Drosophila melanogaster: one gene and its partners. The protein of the gene in region 1 interacts with the protein of each later gene in a pairwise test. Each region holds a gene or a part of one and is shown in the gene's direction. Other genes may lie near its edges.

Region 1 (5,871 bases):
TGGCTGGGTTTTATTCTCGCCATAACCATTGCTCCATGGCAAATGGCCCATTGGAGCATTTATGGCCAAGTTCCATGCGTCGGCATTCCCCCGACTTTTTCATTCAATTGCTATATCTGGGCGGCTTTAATTAACAATGTTTTTATAAGCACTTTAACCAATACTTTTTTATATAGAGAAAAATGCTATGTGAAGTTCCTTGGAGATTCAAGCTATAAAGGTTAAAGTGTACACCTTTTCCCCCAATATAATTTTTGCATTTCCCTATCCTCTTCGAAAGCATTTACCCTCCAAAAACGCAGAAAAGCCACATGGACCACAATTGAAGGGTCGTTGTTGTGGCTCGTTGCTGCCACTTAACGTATTTGCCACGGATTCACCCACCTCCCCACCTGTTATGCCTGCACTGACCGCTGAACGCTGCAGGATGCAGTCGTTGAGGGAGCTTTAATCGACCAAACTGCCACTGCACCTGCGGGATCAATTGAGATTTATTACTGGGTCGTGTCATTTGTATTTCGCTTGGTTCCCACGGCTGCTTCTGCAATTGTGCACATTTTATGCTGCTGGTCAGCAATTAGACACTTATTTAATTTGCAGCGGGAATTTCCAGCTGGCACTTCGGATTTGCCCACTGACCCGACTAGTTGGGCGTTTTGGGCCAACAAGCCGACAGCTGTGGTTAACTTTGGCCAGCAGAGAATGCCAATGCTAATGCCAATATGCCCTTATTCCAACCGAAAAGTGGATCGCTAGCTCTTCAAGAACTTTTTGCCACCACATACTTTGCTCCCAATGACAAGCTGATGATTGTATAAAGCCAATATTTGTATCTAAATATCTGGTAGTGCAAAATAATTTGTAGCTGCGATTTGCGCAGATTGTGGTCGTGTTGGCTTCGCTCTTTAATGACATTTTGAGCGTCTTAATGACTTAATGGCCCTTTGGTCGTCAAAACGCTTTTGCCGCATCATTGGCAATGCAATTAACTCGAGCATTTGCTGGTGCCCGCTTTTTGTGTGCCAAGTGTCCTGGCGTAATTAGTTGGCCACTTCCGCTTCCACTTCCTTGCCGCCATCGCATCCGTGTCTGTCTGCGCGAGTCCTTTAATGGATTTCGCCTCTGACTGCGCGCGAAAATTCATTAAAACTCGATAATTGCATGACAAGACAAGATCCTGGAATTTGGCCATCGGGTGCGAGTCCTTGTTTATCCCTGGGCTCGCTATCTGGCAAATGGCATTAAGAACCAGTTGATTTACTTGCGATTGTTTTCCGCTTGGTGCACTGAGCAAAATAAGGAGCATAACATATTATCGAAGAGATCGATGTTAAGAAATCTCAGAATATTTATTGTATATTTGAATATCTAAAACCTGAATTACAACTTAAAGAATATATTATTTTGACATATGTTCAAAACAACAAGGAATTTATTTAAAGCAATAATTTCATTAAAACGAAGAGGAGATTATTTCATTTAAAACAATTGGATGTGTAGTTATTAAATCAGCTGCCAACCAAGCTGGCCAAAGTAAATATTCCTTTTGCGTGACTTACTATGCATATTGTATTATTCATTCTACCGAAATGAGGATTCGGTAAGCCATGTATTTGTTGCATCTGCCCATCGCACAGCCAGTAAGTAATTGTCTTGATTAAATAATTTAATCTGCTAAATGCAGGCATTTTAATCTAGAAAAGCTGCGACCATGTCAGGTGCACGCACTTCATTGGCACCCAGGAAATCATTGGTTATTAGCCTTCGGCCCGTCGGCATCGAATTGAGTTGGAATACCAGAGATGTAATTTCAGCCTGCGGTTGCAGGGCAGCAAATTGAATTTTGCTGTAAAGCCGCTCGTTGCCAGGAGGCAGGATAAACATGCTAAACGTATAAATTTTCAGCCTGATTGCATTCCAAAGTTTCGGGCCACTAGGACGGCATGCCAGAAACTATACACAAAAGATAATGCCGCTGCACAATTGGATTGCCAGCTGAGGGGGAGAATGCAGCACACAAACATTCATTTTCCACTCGACTGGAGTTGAGCGCGTTTCGCATTCGCATTCGCATTTGGTATTTCGCATTTCAGCAAAATTTCAATGCGACAGACAAGAGCGACCCAGACGGTATTGTTACGGTTACGCTTTAGGACCAGGACTAACCTGAACCTCCAATGAGTGACATTTATCTTGCGAGGACAACAAGGGGCGTCCTGTCGGAGCATTCATTTGCGTAATTAGTGGCCAAGTGGCATCCGCAACCTGGTTGCCAAATGCCAAATGCCATTTGGCTTCGGTCGCAGAGCAGAGGCCTCAAAATCACCGCAACTGCTGCTTGATTATTGGCCAGGACCAAAAGGAATGGCCAGCAGACAGGCGACGTCAGCACAATTGATAGCATACTTCTCAGGGCAGCGGCAGCTGAGGAGCAGCAAAGGTGAGTCCCTTGCCGAGCACTTGGCTCCACTGCACTCCTTAGCCACAATAGAATGTACCCACTTTGAATTTGTAGTAAACACGGAAGCACACTTTTGAATTTATAAACATATAATTAGCTACAAAAAAATTGCATTTAGTTGCTAAGCTTACCGCCAAGTAAAAATCATAAAATTTAAACTTTAGCAGTTATTGCCAATGTATCCAAAAATGTAATTCTCATATTTATCTCCTACATACAATATTTCAATTAAATAATTATAGTCGTCTAGTTATTGTACCTTATGTGCTCATGTTTTCGGGCTATATAAATCGCAGTTTTAAGCCAATAACATTTTCAGCAACGATTTCCCCTAGTGAATTAGGAAATAGTAATTGATTTTATGCGATTGATTCACTGCTGCACCAGTAAAAAGTATCTGCCTGAACTAAGGAAGTATAATTAAATTAGTTTTAAACTGGAAAGTAACCGAATCAACGTGGCAAGCAAGCGGAAAACTTCATTTGTAGCTGGGAATTGGCCACGTGGGTGGGCGGTGTTCCTTGGTTGGTTCGGGGGGGAGTGGGAAAAAGGAGAGCTACGTGAGAGTTACAAGGGCACGCACGCAGACACACGGGCACAGCGAAAAGCGAAAGCAGCGAGAGAGGAAAATCGGAGATGACGAAAAACAGCAACAGCAACGGCAATGGCAACAGCGACTAAGCAAAACATGGGCCAAACCAAAACAAAAACACACGATTTGCCGGCAAAATGCACGTGACACATCCTTTGGCGAGCTTCGTCGAGTGCGATCCTTCGTCGAGTGCCGAATGCAGCCGATTGCAGCCGAACGAAGCAGAGCCGAAGCTGCGCAGAATCCAACGAGAGGTATAAAAGCGAGACGCTCGCCGCACTCGTGGCATTCGATTGTCGTCGCTCGAGAGGATAGGTGCCCAGCTTCGAAAAGGATAAAACCCCGCAAAGGACTCTAAGTAAAAGTGAAACTTTAAAGCCAAAGAGCACACACACATACACATACACGCGCACACGTTGCATACAGTTTGGCGCGAGTGTGGGTTACTGCTGGCGGTACGCCAGTGTGTGTGTGTGAGTTGGCCAAGTGGATTTCTATTTTTGGCCCATTAAGAAGTCAACTCGTGAAGTGCAGTGGTGTTAAATTCGTTGCTATTTGAAAGGACTCATCGGGTTGCTTAACAAACGAAAACAAAACAACGCCGAAACTCTGGCAATCGCAATCTGATCCTTGGACATGTGGAGCAGGCAGCGAATGCGCCATAAGCCGCTTTGGGCCCTAATATCCTTGACCGTTTTGCTGCTGGTCCTGGACAAAAGCAATGCCAACACGGAGCCCGTCGAGACCAGCACCACATCCGAGCCAGGTGAGTCCTAATTGCCCCGCACACACGTGGGCTCCTCCGTTTGACCTTCACTCACTGGACGGACGAAAAGCGTAAATAAATTATGACGGGCCGCCTCGAACTCGGTCACTTTATTAAATGGCCTTCCACGCATCCATGGAAATCGGACAGTTCACAGCTTCCAGCTCCCAGCGATTATCACACACGCTCGAACAAAAAGGATATAAATCCGGAGTAGAAATGAATTCGTAACCGGGAGGGGAAGCTACAGAGCGCAAGAGCAAATAACTGGCAGCAAATGAAATATTTCACGGCATCTGCGGCACAAAGGCAATCAAAGCGAGCCGAGAGCCCATGGGCAACCTTAATCCCAATCAGAGTCAACAAACAAGCAAGGGCATCGCGAAAACGGGGCACTGCGGAAAATATTTGGCAACAAATTTTTAGGTTGCTTTTCATATTAAATTATAAAAGACATGCTTATAAGGTGCAAGGATAATGGCTTTTATTATGAATCATTCAAAGCAAGACATCATGAAGTCTTTAAAGTTAGTTTTCAAACGCAATCACAAACATTATTTTTCAGTAAGAATAAAGAAAAACATGATTGTCATGTATGACAAATCGAAATAAATTTTCGTATAGCATTCACATAAATATTTAAAATCATTATGTATTTCACACCTTGTAAAATAATTATTTAACCTTTATTTCGAGCGTATTATGATAATTTATTAGGTAAGAATTTAATGATAAATTTAGTTATTTTTGATCAAATATATTTTCAATTACATATGTATATTTATACATTATAAATTATGATTACTGAACATTTTGAACATGTGAAATCATTAATAAGGCGCAAACTTAATGCATACTTTTGATTGTTAGACCTTTGCTCCTAAATCTCAACGAAACTTAATTCCGCTGGCAGTCACCAATAATTTCTCTCAGTGCACTAGGGGAAGGGGAGCTGAAAGGTAGCTCGGGCAAGCGGCAATTGCACGAAAGTCCGTAATGAAGTATGGCAGGCAGGCCGTCCGAGGCTGGTAATAGAAATTAATAGCGTCATGTGTGAGTTTTGCGAAAGGGAAGGAAGACTTTGGACGGGGGAATGGGTGGATGTGGGGTACAAGGGACAAGGGAAGTGGGAAAAAGGATACAGGGGAAGTGTAAAGTGCCCGACAGCGACACGCAGATGCGCATAAAGTAATTAATTCACTCTGCCTCCATCGGCATCGCCATCGCCATCGCCATCCCTCCAGTCGGTTGCCTTCTAATTTCCCCTGGCAAATCGACAGGACCAGCTGTTGAGCTGCTGAGCTTTTGGGGTTTCGTCCTTCAGTCAGGCAAAAGTGCGTCGCACTTATCTTCTTTTTTTTTCTTTTGTGGCGGATATTGCGACTTCTTATTTCGCCTTTTGGTGCGCAGTTTGGCAGTCAGTCAGGTGAGAGGGGTGCCGATTCTTAGATTTTCTGAGATCCAAACGTTCGCTTGACACATGTGAAAGCGAGGGAAATTTAATTTACATGACTCACAAATGGAATCCATTTAATGTTGACTTATGGCGACGAAGCACTAGCGCACAGAGCACTAATGAAATATGCAGTAGCCGAGTAGCAGCTAAAACCAGAGCTGCCTTTCACCCATTTCCATGTGCTGTCCCATAAATCCTGGGTCCCCAGGATGGATGATGATGTTGGAACGAGTTGGGCGCACACTAAAAAATATGCGTTTACGATAATTATTTTCAATAGTAGAGTAGTAGTAAGCCACATATAAAAGAGAAGCTAACTAAAAATATCCCTTCGAAACATGATATAAATATTTCATAAAATAAATAGGAAGCCAAAGATAGATGGAACTTATTTCAGTGCACCACACACAGTGCATTTTGCGAGCCCATGGTCACCCATGTCTTTTTGCCACATTTTATGTGCTTAGAACAAAGCTGAGTCTGCATTATGCATGCAAATGGTATAACTGAGTAACGAACTGTCAAAATCGCAGTTAAAGCAAAAAGGAGTCGTTGGGAAAGGGATGTAGCCTCGGCAGGAGGAGGAAAACCAAATG
Region 2 (5,579 bases), 570 kb from region 1:
TGCAAGCGAACAAGTCAAAGGCTCAAACAAATTAATGCGGCTGAGCGAATCCGTCGAGCTTGCGGATTGTACAGTGCAATTAACGCTGACCGCGGCATGGTAAGAAGAACAAATAAGTAATTAATGGTGAAATTAAAAAAGATTTTTATTTTTTATTAAAAAAGATAAAAAAAGTTCTTGTCAGAAGTGGGATTCGAACCCACGCCTACAGAGTAGACTGCGACCTGAACGCAGCGCCTTAGACCACTCGGCCATCCTGACTTGATCGCTGAGTGGACTGCGCACCAAAAAGTTCACAAGCCATTTGATCTAGTCAAAAGCACAGTAAAAAGTTCTAGGGAGCTTTGATAAGCTGACCATTGATCGATAGGAAAAACTCGATTTCAAACCAGATATTCGATAAATTTATCTTCACGAATAGTTCCCAATTTTAAACTAATACGCAAGTTACCGCTCAAGTAAAACTAAAAAATAGTTTCGTTTATTCATTTATCCAGTATTTCATACGATCAAAAATATTATAATGCATTGATACTTATGTGTAATAATTGTCTTATATCTTTATTACTCGTAACTCGTTTCGTTATTATAACAATGATCTATTTGATCAGGGCGACAAAATCGGAGATACGAGTTCCACACGCCGTCCCTCGTGATTTTTAAAGAAGTCGAAATTGCATCTTTGTATCATTTGAATTTTATTGAAAAGAAACGTAACGTTTCCACAAAAAATTGCTAAACGTTTCCTAAATATACATAGTTTAACTAAAAATATGACTACAATTTATTCAAAAAGTTCTTGCACATCTAAAACAAATGTTATTACATTTTAGTTTTGAGATATAGGCGTTTTGTTGGCCTTCTAGTGATTTCAGTGTTTTTATTATATTTTGGTACTAAGTCTTTCATTTGTTGCATATTAATTTTGACTTTTCTCTTTACGTGTTTTACATAATATATTTCATAAAATTCATTTGATGTCCTTTTTTTAACTAAATTGAGCTAAAATATATATTACAATTGCCTTTGTAACCTTTATGCCTTTGTGTAATTAAAAGTAATTTTTGGATGGTTCCATTTGTGTTTAGATGTATTTTACTCTGCGCCAAAAAGAAGCATTTGCAAGGGAAATTCTTAGGTTCTTTACTTTCAATTGTGGCTTTTAATTCATAATCAAGTCGCTTTCATTGCTGCTGTCTACATTTCATTACTTCAAGAATTCCATACATTTAACTTAGCATAGAGAAGTACACTAAATATTAGATTTATTTTACACATATATGCTTTTATATGAATGTGTATATCGTATGTACATAATTAATAGGCAACCACTTAAGCTTAATATAAAAATAAGTATTTTTCTGCAATATAAATTTGCCACACAATGTACTATAAACCGAAAACTGTACAGTATACAATATTCCTTCTCATCATCGGCATTCAGTTATCATTACCATTATCATTGTCAATCGGTTGAACAGCATTCCTAGCACATACACAGCGCATTTCCAAACCAAACTCAGCTTCAGCTACATATCTGCCAAGCAAGTCTTTGCGAACTTTATTAAAATGAGAAACGAGTAATTTTCGATTTCTAGCAAATAAGATAAAACGAAACGAAAAAGGCAAATGAGAACATTCTGTCTGTCTTTACATGCGCAATGTGGCTAATCGGTTCCTGCATGTACTGCTCGGCATTTAGATCTTTTAGGACTTAAGCTAGTTTGGTTTTGGATTTCGTATGCATGCTTATGCTGTGTGGGGTGCTACTAAAAACAATTAGTACACACTAGCTTCATTGCTGCTGCTTTAATGTTTGCGTGTTGTTGTCGTTGCTGCATCTGGTACCTCTGGCTTAGTACATTGACTTTCATGAGGCGTACATGCGGTTAATATCATGCTGATATCTGTCCTGGATATCCTTGCGCTTCAGCTTGAAGGCGGCGGTTACCAGCCCCATGTCCGGAGACCAGACCTCCTTACAAAGTGTGATGGCGGCGGGAACCTCATATTTTTGCAATTTACCTTTAAGATTAAACAATTTGCCATTAAAAACTTTGAAAAATACTCAAATCTGCATCGTAGCTTACATTTCCGCGCATGCTCAGCAATTTCCTTGAGAATAGCCTTCTCTATGATCGGTGATGAGCACAGCTCCTCAAAGGACTTATCACCCAGGCCATGTTTCTGTGCCAGCTCCTCCAAATGGTTTTGGTTGGGAACGACCAGCGCCACTGTGTACTGCTTTGTCGGATCTCCGTATACGCAAATGTTCTCGATGATTCCGCAAGTCTTAAGCTCAGATTCAACTTTGCCAAGGGAAACATACTCGCCGGCCTGCAGCTTAACCAGATCCTTCTTACGATCTGCAAAAAGCGTATTATAATAAAAAAAATGAAAGAAAAAGCACTGTGCTAAATAACTTACCAATAATCTTAAGTACGCCATCAGCTTGTATTTCGCCAATGTCGCCGGTTTTAAACCATCTCTGTCCATCCTCCTCAAAGAAATCCTCGTTGGTCTTGCCGGGCAACTTGTAGTATCCCTGGGAGACACACTCGCCACCAATGAGAACCTCACCCTGGGGATAAGGTTTATTTGTGACGCGGTAGTTGCCTTCTTCCCAGTTGACTAGACGGATGTCGCAGACAGTTAATGGTCCTCCAGTGCGTCCATAGGTCATATCACGGTCTTGTATTGGGTATAAAGTTATTTACTTGTTTTCAAAAGAAAGGTCGATCTGCGATCACTTACAGTCCATGACAGTGGCTCCAGACGTAGTTTCCGTAAGGCCATAGCCCTGAATCAGCTCCAAGCACAAGCAGGTCTTGATCTGCTCATGTGTATCTGCTGACAGAGGCGCTCCGCCAGACATGATAATGCGCACTTTGCCACCCATTAGCTTTGCCACCTTCTTGAACACCAGTCTGCAAGAAAAATAATAGTTTTAGTTAGCAACTCATGATATTTATGAGCACACCGTTCTTACTTATCAATCAGCGGCGTCTTGTACCCCCTCTGCACCCACTTGACTTTGTACTGGTAAAGGAATTTGAAGAGTGATTTCTTGAACGCCGAGCCAGAGTTAACCTTGTCGTTAATACCCTTGGAAATGCGATCCAATATCAGCGGCACCGAAGTCATGCAGGTGGGCTTCAGGACGGTGGCATCGCCCTTGCACCCGCGTTTGATCTTGCTGCTAGTGTCGATCAGAGTCAAGGGGGTCGAGTAGCCAATTGGAACGCCAGTCATGAGACACACACTTTCCGCAACCAATTCAAAAACGTGAGCCAGGGGCAGGAATCCGATCAGTACATCATCCGGATAGATAGGCACCATATCAACAAATCCCTTCATTGTCGCAATGCAGTTCTTGTGCGAGAGGAGGACACCCTTAGGTGTGCCAGTGGATCCGGAAGTGTACATGATAATGGCAATGTCATCTCCCTTGGGTGGAACGTGCTCTGTGGGATACAAAATAAAGTCAATTAGTACTAGTTTAATATTTAACAAATTCCTTGCGCATAGCACGCTATACATATGCTGTCAACATTTCAGTGCTGAATTAAAAGCGCATACTTTCGGTAAACAGAAAGAACTCTTTCCAAATTGTGTAGGGTGATTTTTTAGTTCAGACACCATTCGAAATGGCTGAAGTCCTAGAGGAATTCATCACCCTAACGCCCTTGACTTGTGTGCAACAATGCAATGCTTTACTAGGCTCAACATCAGGAAAGCCGAGAAGCTGCTCCGTATTTTTTACACTATTTGGCGTATACTGCGGCGTTCTCATCTTTCGGGCGTATCGCACATATTCCTCTAAGCAAGAAAGAGACGAGGAAAAGATAACCGAAGGAGTTACCCTTGAGGCTAAGGAGGAAGATTTGATCATAGGACCTGGTTCCAGTCTTGTGAACGAATATGTAGAACAAACGAAGCCGATTCTGTTGCAACCCGTCGGTTTTTCCAGTACTGACATGAGGTGAGAGTTGTAGATTAAAACACTGGATGACCCATCAACACATTCTGTCTCGATTAGATGGCGCTATTGCAACCACTTGCCGGAAGCAGAATTAGCACAAGGCTCTGATAGTGAAAACAGATCAACCGAAAGAGATGACATTGATAACCTCGAAAGGATGAGCAATGTTGTGGATGATAATGATGCGCAGAAGCCGGTTGCATCCACATCGATGGCAACGGCTCGGGCGCCTGAGGATAACGCCGATGGTGAACACGTCGAGCCCACACCATTTTCGGTGTGAAACACGATGCATTTTAGCAAATTTATCGTGTAATTGACATAAATAAATCATCTTTTAAGACCCTTTCAAAACGTACCAAATTTACTGTCCTGTCCTGTCTTGACAACTTGGTTAAACGGCAAGATCTTGACGCCCTCCTTGAAGCCAGTGGTTTCTGTCTTTTGCAGCTGATCCTCAATATAGATAATAGTCTTCACCAATGGGCATTTGTCGAGCAGCGTCTTAAACTTGGGCAGCAGATCATGGGAGGTGATAACCGTGGTGACTTCCGTTTCGGTGATGCCTGGCAACAGAGCAAAATATTATTTAAAAACCATACACATGGTAAGCCAATTTACTCACAATGAGCAACTCCATCATCGCCCAGCGTAGCATAGACAGTGACAATGGGCATAGCCTGCTTAAAGCATCCGTGGGCAGCTATCATCCATTCGGCTCGCGTTTCGGCAAAGATGACAATGTTCTCGCGTGGTTTCTGGCCAAGTTCTCGCAGACCGCGCCCGAAATTAGCCGCCGTGCGCTCCGCCTCGGTGAACGTCTTCCACTTGTAGTCACCGAGGTTGTACTTCTTGAAGACTCGACCGTTCTGCTGCACCTCATCCTCCTCGCTGAGGATCTGCCGGGTGCCCAGACAACGCTTCGACGTGTAAGTTTTGGCCACATAGTTGAATACCTTCTCCAGGGTATCGATATTCTCTTGCAGCATCTTCACGTGGACATCCCGTGGTGGATCCGTGGTCCGGTAGGTCAGCTCATTGTCATCATTCCGCACGATCTTTGCCTGGAAAATGAGCGAATTCGTGGCGATTAGTTTAACGTCGTGTTAGAGGTTGCGATTTAAAAAGAAACGCTAGATTAGGGGAGGGACCACAAAGTAGAATCGACAGAGAGATAACGGACATGTGAGTTTTCGAGGGTTTGTTGAGGTGAGGGCCGTAACTCGGGAGATCATGTTTCTTGGACCAACACCAAAAAGAGTCTCCAAAAAGGGGATTCAACTCTGGGTACGATCACCAACCAGTACCTGGAACATTCATTGTGCGTGTGTGGTGTTTGTGTGTTGTATGGGGGTGCCCCAATGTATGTGTGTGTGTGTGTGTGTGTGTGTTCGTGTAATGTGTGTATGTTCCATAACAGATAGTATTACTAAATAATAAAAAAACACATTTGCAAAAGTTAAACCTCAATGTCATCCGGCGCGTACTTGGACTCATCGACCAACATTTTCTGGTTAATGGGCTTGGCCTGTAGAGGAAGGAGGAGTTGAGATATGCGATGAGAAGCTAGTTAGCTGTGGTATTGCATAGAGTTACT
Region 3 (5,871 bases), on another chromosome or scaffold:
AAGTTTCCTTTCATATATTCTGAATATATACCAAAATCGTATAACAAAAATAATCTATAATCTTAATTTTTCTTTTAACAAGAACATTCAATTCACAATGGCATACTCAAAACGAAGCACCAATTATTATTTAAAATAAAAGTTTAATTATTAACTAATTATTATGTTGCATTGATCAATAAATTATTTGAATATTTAATATGAATAATTCCCTAACGTTTTTATATTTTTAATTAATTGCTGCTAAAACTTCTCAAATCTTTGATATATTACCAAATTGGTTAACGAATGTTTCATAAATGCATTATACCCTCTGGGTCCTACACTTTATTGGGTATCATAAACTGTATCCTAGACAGAGGTGAAAACGCTGGCAGCGGCAATCGTTCGGCTCATTTCACACATTTTCGTGGCCGAACGATTTTCCCGCTTTTCCGAATTTCCCGGCACACACTAACACGCACGCGGAATGGATCGTTTTGTTGGCAGTTTAGTTCTTTTTGTTTAAATTATTGAAACGATCCACGAACAACTTCGCAGATGGAGATCATTTATAAACCACTTCATCGAGAGCATTCGGCAGTTCCTCGCTTGTCTTCCATTATTTCATAGCTTGGTTGGAGGTTGCCCATTTGTAGGTGGGTGGGTTGGTGGCTGCATGGAGGCAGTTCCTCGTTCCCCATTTGTCTAAATCAAGACGCGAGGAACAGGCGCTGGTGATCTATTATCACCAAAGGTCACAGCTCCGGACGCACATCAATTGGTAGCCTCGAATCTCCAGGGAAATCTGGCCACTGGAGTCGATTGCGTGTTCCCAACCATAAAGCATAAATGAAGACATTAATGGGTTAACCAGAAGATTTAGTGCATGATATTTGAATTTGAACGGGGCTGGCAAGCATAAATCATGATTTACACTACCAAAATGAGTTTGGAAAAAAATTATTAAGGAATTAATTGAATTTGGGTTCTATTCGACTAACTACAATCCTGTATTATTTGTTATTTAAAATATCACATATATATATCTGTTTTTATCTAATTTCCTTTTAATTGATTGCTAACATTTCAATGAATTATTCAAAACCAAGTAATTAGCGTGACATTCAAGACTGCGGTTGTTTGCATTTTACAGAATAAGCAATTAGTTTTGTTTTAAAACGAGGAAAAACGATATCATAGAGGCACAAGTAGTGCCCGAGGCTCTTAATAAATAAACTTCATTTCCAAATATATCTTTTTTTTTTTAGCCTTGTTGCTTTATTGTAGTTGTTAAATTAATAACAATAAGAAATATGTATATATATATATATATATATTCATATTTATGTATATACACATGGTATGCAATAAATTTGCTTGTTTCAGGCCGATTGCTTGTGTTTTTGGTTTCTGCTGGTTTTTTTTTTTGAGTGAGTGCTGCTGCTTGGTTGCGTAAAGTAAATGCGAAGAAATCACCTCGAAGACCCGGCGATGGAGAATATCATGTGTAAAGGTGTATATAGAGCTGGTTCGTAAGGCACATTACGGCTAGATTGTGGATGCATCAAGTGATTGCTAATTGCGCTGATGTTGATGTTGATGGTTGATGGTTGAGAGTCCGCAGCCTTCGATGTACAGCAGCAGCCTAAGTAGATATATGTATATATAGGGTACATATAAGTGCCGGTATCAATTTTTGATTGCTAACAAATGCTTGACAATAATCCAAATGCTTAAACTTAAGAGTCCACTCGAATTTAGTGTTGAAAATCAGTTGGCTTTAAATTCAATTTGGCCGCTCGGAAGGGTATCCTAGCCACGCTGCAAAGCGAATCCCTTTCTCCTCCTCCTCTAATTGACTGAGCAATATCATAGTTTCGTTTCGTTTTCCCACCGCCTCCTCTGCTCTCCGCTACTCTCACTCTGCTTTCGATCCGGCGATCTTGCATTGAATGCAAGCACGTCCAGTCGTGTATAACTTAAACAACTAATAATCATCCGAGTGCGCCGGAGGAGGCGTTGGAGCACCCGGTGAAGTGGCCGCCCTTGCCGCCAGCCTGTCGTCCGCGTCTTCGTCAGTCGTTGTACATGCCGTCCACCAGGAAGTCCATGCGACGGTAGTGCCTGGTGCTCCACATGTCGCGGAAGCGGCGGTACATGATGGTCACCACGCCGATGGCCAGCGGAACGGTCAGCAGCACGGTAACAATGGGTACCACATACCCGTTCTCTCCGTGATCGGCAAGATTACTTCCAGTAAGCCCCTGCACCAATGGCTCTGGTGGTGTGGCCAATGGCTGGGTGGGAGCGCCCTTTGTACCTGGCTTATCCTGACTCTTTTCCAGCTCCGCCATATCCTCCCCCTCCTGGTGTATATCAGTGCTCAATACCACTGGGGGCTTCTTCGGCTTTGGCGTGGTTGCGATGATGGTTGAATTGACAGTTTTGGTGGTGGCTGTGGCGGTGTGGGTGCTGTTGGTCGGGGATATTGCCGCGCCGTTGGTGGACGAGTTGCTCGGCTTGGTGACATCCTTCATGGACTGGCCCTCGGTGACTATGGCTGATCCTGCAGCTGGCTTTGCCGTGGTGGTGGTGGTCGTGGTGGAAGAAGTTGTAGTGGAGGTCGTATTGGTCGCCTCCTTGGCCGCCTTTTGCTCCACAGCCGGCTTGGAAGTGACCAAAGGAATGGTGGGCACTCCTGTATCGGTGTTTGTGAGATTTTTGGCTTTACCTGCATTTTCTGCTGTGGCCGTTTTGTTTAAGTTCTTGTCCTGTTGCAACACAGCTGCATCCTTACCCGGCACCAGCTGGCTGGCAGCTCCCGGAGATCCAGATTCCAATTTCGATCCTGGAATAACTTTGGCCTGCAGCACGTTCGTCGCATTGGCCACCACTGGGGCGTCCTTGGTGGCGGAGTTAGCTGTCTGCTTCTGCTGGCCTGAGACCAGGACCAAGATGCTCAGCAGCCACAGCATATAGAGCAGCTTCATTGTCGTCTGATTTCTTATTCTTATAAGAGTGAAACGTCGCGTCGCTTCTATTCATTTAGTTGCACAAGTGATGCACCATCGAGAGCTTATCGATAACAGTCGACAGTGTTGGGCGTTTTGGTTTGAAACAGGTGAAAAACGTGTATCAAGTTAAAACAAAATTCGGTATAGAAAGAGAATTTGTTTTATTGTTTTCAGGAAGAACTTGACAAATGTTATGAGCAAATTTTAATGAGCAAACAAACGAAATCTGTTTGACCTACTGTGTGTCGTTAGTTGGAAAAAAAAATTTGTAAAATTTGATTACATATATATGGTTACAGAATTAGTGCAGTAAATTATTTTTGAACAAAAAAACAGAAATTCGTAAAAATAAATAATAGAAACGTTGCAAATATCTTTTTGTCTACACAAACTTTACCGAGTGGTGGCAACGCTGTCGCACCAGCGACCAGTCTGCTGACGTTGCCACTTTCCAGCTGAGCCTATCCGTGTTTGCTTGCGTGTGTGTGTATTTGTGGTGCGTGCGTGGGTCTGGCGCATTAAATTTGGATTTTACTCCGATTTGGACCTGACCTGGATTCGGAACTCGGACCACGATGATGATGCGACCGGAGCTGACGCTGGCCGGCCTCCTGCTGCTCTGCGCCACTGGCGCCAGCGCCTGGCACTCGGAGGAACTGGAGATCTTTGACTTGGTCGAGGAGGTAAACCGCAACTTCTACGAGTTCATGGGCATCAACCAAACGGCAACGGGCGCCGAGGTGAAGCGCGCCTTCCGCACCCTGTCCATTGTCCTGCATCCGGACAAGAATCCGGCCGAGGATGCCAACATCCAGTTCCGCAACCTCGTTTCCATCTACGAGGTTCTCAAAGATCCGTCGCGCCGAGAGAAGTACGACCGGGTACTGAAGGAGGGCATGCCCAACTGGAAGTCTGCCCTCTACTATTACCGACGTATGCGCAAGATCGGGCTCTATGAGGGCGCCTTTATCCTCTTCCTGATAACCACCGTGGGCCAGTATCTATTCGCCTGGGCGGCCTACCTCGAGAAGAAGTACACCGCCGAACAGGTCTTTGGCACCAAGCTGAAGAAGCTGCAGAAGAAGAACAAGAACATCGACATGGACGTGATCCTTAGCGAGATACCGATGCCCTCGCTACTCAACACCCTGCCCATCCAGATCCCCTTGGCCCTGTGGAACCTGCCGCGCACCATCAAGAACGGATTCAGCAAGGCCAACGAGCTAAAGGAACTCGCCCTGGAGAAGCGCAGGCAGTAAGTGGCAGGGTTCTATTGCTTACCTTACGTTTTTACGTTATTATAGCGCCTTGTTCCATTGTAGTCATTTTGGAGTTGTAGGATTTTGCTATTTCATTAAGTTTCTATATCGAGAGGTCCTGGCAGCGGAAGGATTATTATTTTGCGACCTTGTGCTCGGAGTTTTGGCAGACCTCTCTTACTTTAGTCTTCAATATCTTAGTATATAGAGCAACAAAAGAATATAATTCTAGTTTTGTATTGCATCAGGTTTTGATAACTTACATTGCCACTCTTATCGTTAATTCGCTGTGGTTTCTGTATGTTCATTGCATGCAGAGTGATATCATTTAATATTAAAAGTTGGTTAGTTTCTCATTTCTCAGTTGAAATTTTGGTCATAGCCTTTAGTTAGCATTTTATATTCACAAGCTAGAACAATTCTTCTAAATATAGGCAATTCAATTAAGAAACAAAGAAAGAAAACGATATGTCACCATGCAAACACATTTTATGCTTTCCAAAAAAGGTGCTCATGAGTGCACCTTAAGATGACTTGCACCATTAGATAGGTTCCAAAGAAGGAATATTGTCAGTCTTTGTGTCGCACGATAATCAAATGAAACTGAGCATTCTTGATATGACCACAGATAAGGTACTAAAATTCGATTAGCGTAGAATAGCTAACAAGCTAACAAAAATCGTGTGGGAACGGTATCCAAAAGTAAGAAGTAAGAAACTAATTGATTCATCCCAATTTGCATCCACAGGGAACTGGAGGCCGTCCGTCGTCAGGAGGAACTGGAACGGGAGGCCGAGGAGCAGGCGCGCCTTCGCAAGGAGCACAAGGAGAATCTGCGGAAGCGCAAGCAGAACAGCAAGGCTCCAGAGAAGACCGAGGAAGAATTGCGCGGCTATTCGCAGATTCAGACTCGCGAATTGACAGATGACGATGCAGTTCGTCCAGCTTCCCAGAAGGTATAAAGCCGACAGTATAGTGTTTCCTGTTCCCTAGTAAATTCGAAACCCTACTAATTTCATGCTTTTACTTTTAGAGCACGGTGAGCGGCGGCTTCTGGACTGACGAGGATCTTACCGAGCTGATTCGCTTGGTAAAAAAGTATCCTGGCGGAGCTGGCAGCCGCTGGAACACTATCGCCGAGTCGATGAACCGCAGCGTTCAGGAGGTGACCTTTATGGCGGCCAAGATGAAGGAGAATGGCTACCGCATTCCCGGCCAAACTGACAGCGTGGCCGAGGCTCTCGTCCAGGAGTCCCAGCAGGCGCAGCGTAAGGAAAAAGTGAAGAAGGCAGCCGCAAATGCAGGAGCTTCAGCCGAGAAGAGCATGCTAATTCCGGAGACCAACTGGACGCAAGAGCAGCAGCGCGCCCTGGAGGCGGCGATAGTCAAGTACCGGAAGACGGCCGGCGGAGACCGTTGGCAGAAGATCGCCAACAGTGTGCCGGAGAAGACCAAGGAGGAGTGCCTGGTGCGCTACAAGTATCTCTGCGAGCTGGTCAAGACGCAGAAGCGGGCCGAGGAGGAGGCCAACGAGCCGGACGAGGATGCGGCCGCCATCGAGGAAGAGCTCCCCGAGGAGGAGCCCCTTGCGCCGCCAGAACCGGAAGTGGCGCCAG

What was found.
Region 2: the proteins of hig (region 1) and CG30355 interact in a two-hybrid assay, tested with the Drosophila melanogaster proteins (one large-scale study listed by BioGRID).
Region 3: the proteins of hig (region 1) and CG7556 interact in a two-hybrid assay, tested with the Drosophila melanogaster proteins (one large-scale study listed by BioGRID).

What each region holds. Positions count from the first base shown.
Region 1 is NT_033778.4:9,244,713-9,250,583, reverse strand, and holds the start of hig (hikaru genki), read left to right. Parts: upstream 1-3,334; 5' UTR 3,335-3,689; coding exon 3,690-3,819; intron 3,820-5,871.
Region 2 is NT_033778.4:8,677,897-8,683,475, reverse strand, and holds CG30355 (uncharacterized protein), read left to right. Parts: upstream 1-3,522; 5' UTR 3,523-3,647; coding exon 3,648-3,982; intron 3,983-4,039; coding exon 4,040-4,265; 3' UTR 4,266-4,330; downstream 4,331-5,579. Other genes in the region: Acsl (Acyl-CoA synthetase long-chain), read right to left, coding at 1,871-2,025, 2,091-2,366, 2,428-2,691, 2,755-2,927, 2,990-3,464, 4,342-4,548, 4,608-5,046, 5,448-5,510.
Region 3 is NC_004354.4:19,177,380-19,183,250, reverse strand, and holds the start of CG7556 (uncharacterized protein), read left to right. Parts: upstream 1-3,420; 5' UTR 3,421-3,571; coding exon 3,572-4,251; intron 4,252-5,003; coding exon 5,004-5,211; intron 5,212-5,288; coding exon 5,289-5,871. Other genes in the region: CG7453 (uncharacterized protein), read right to left, coding at 2,058-2,972.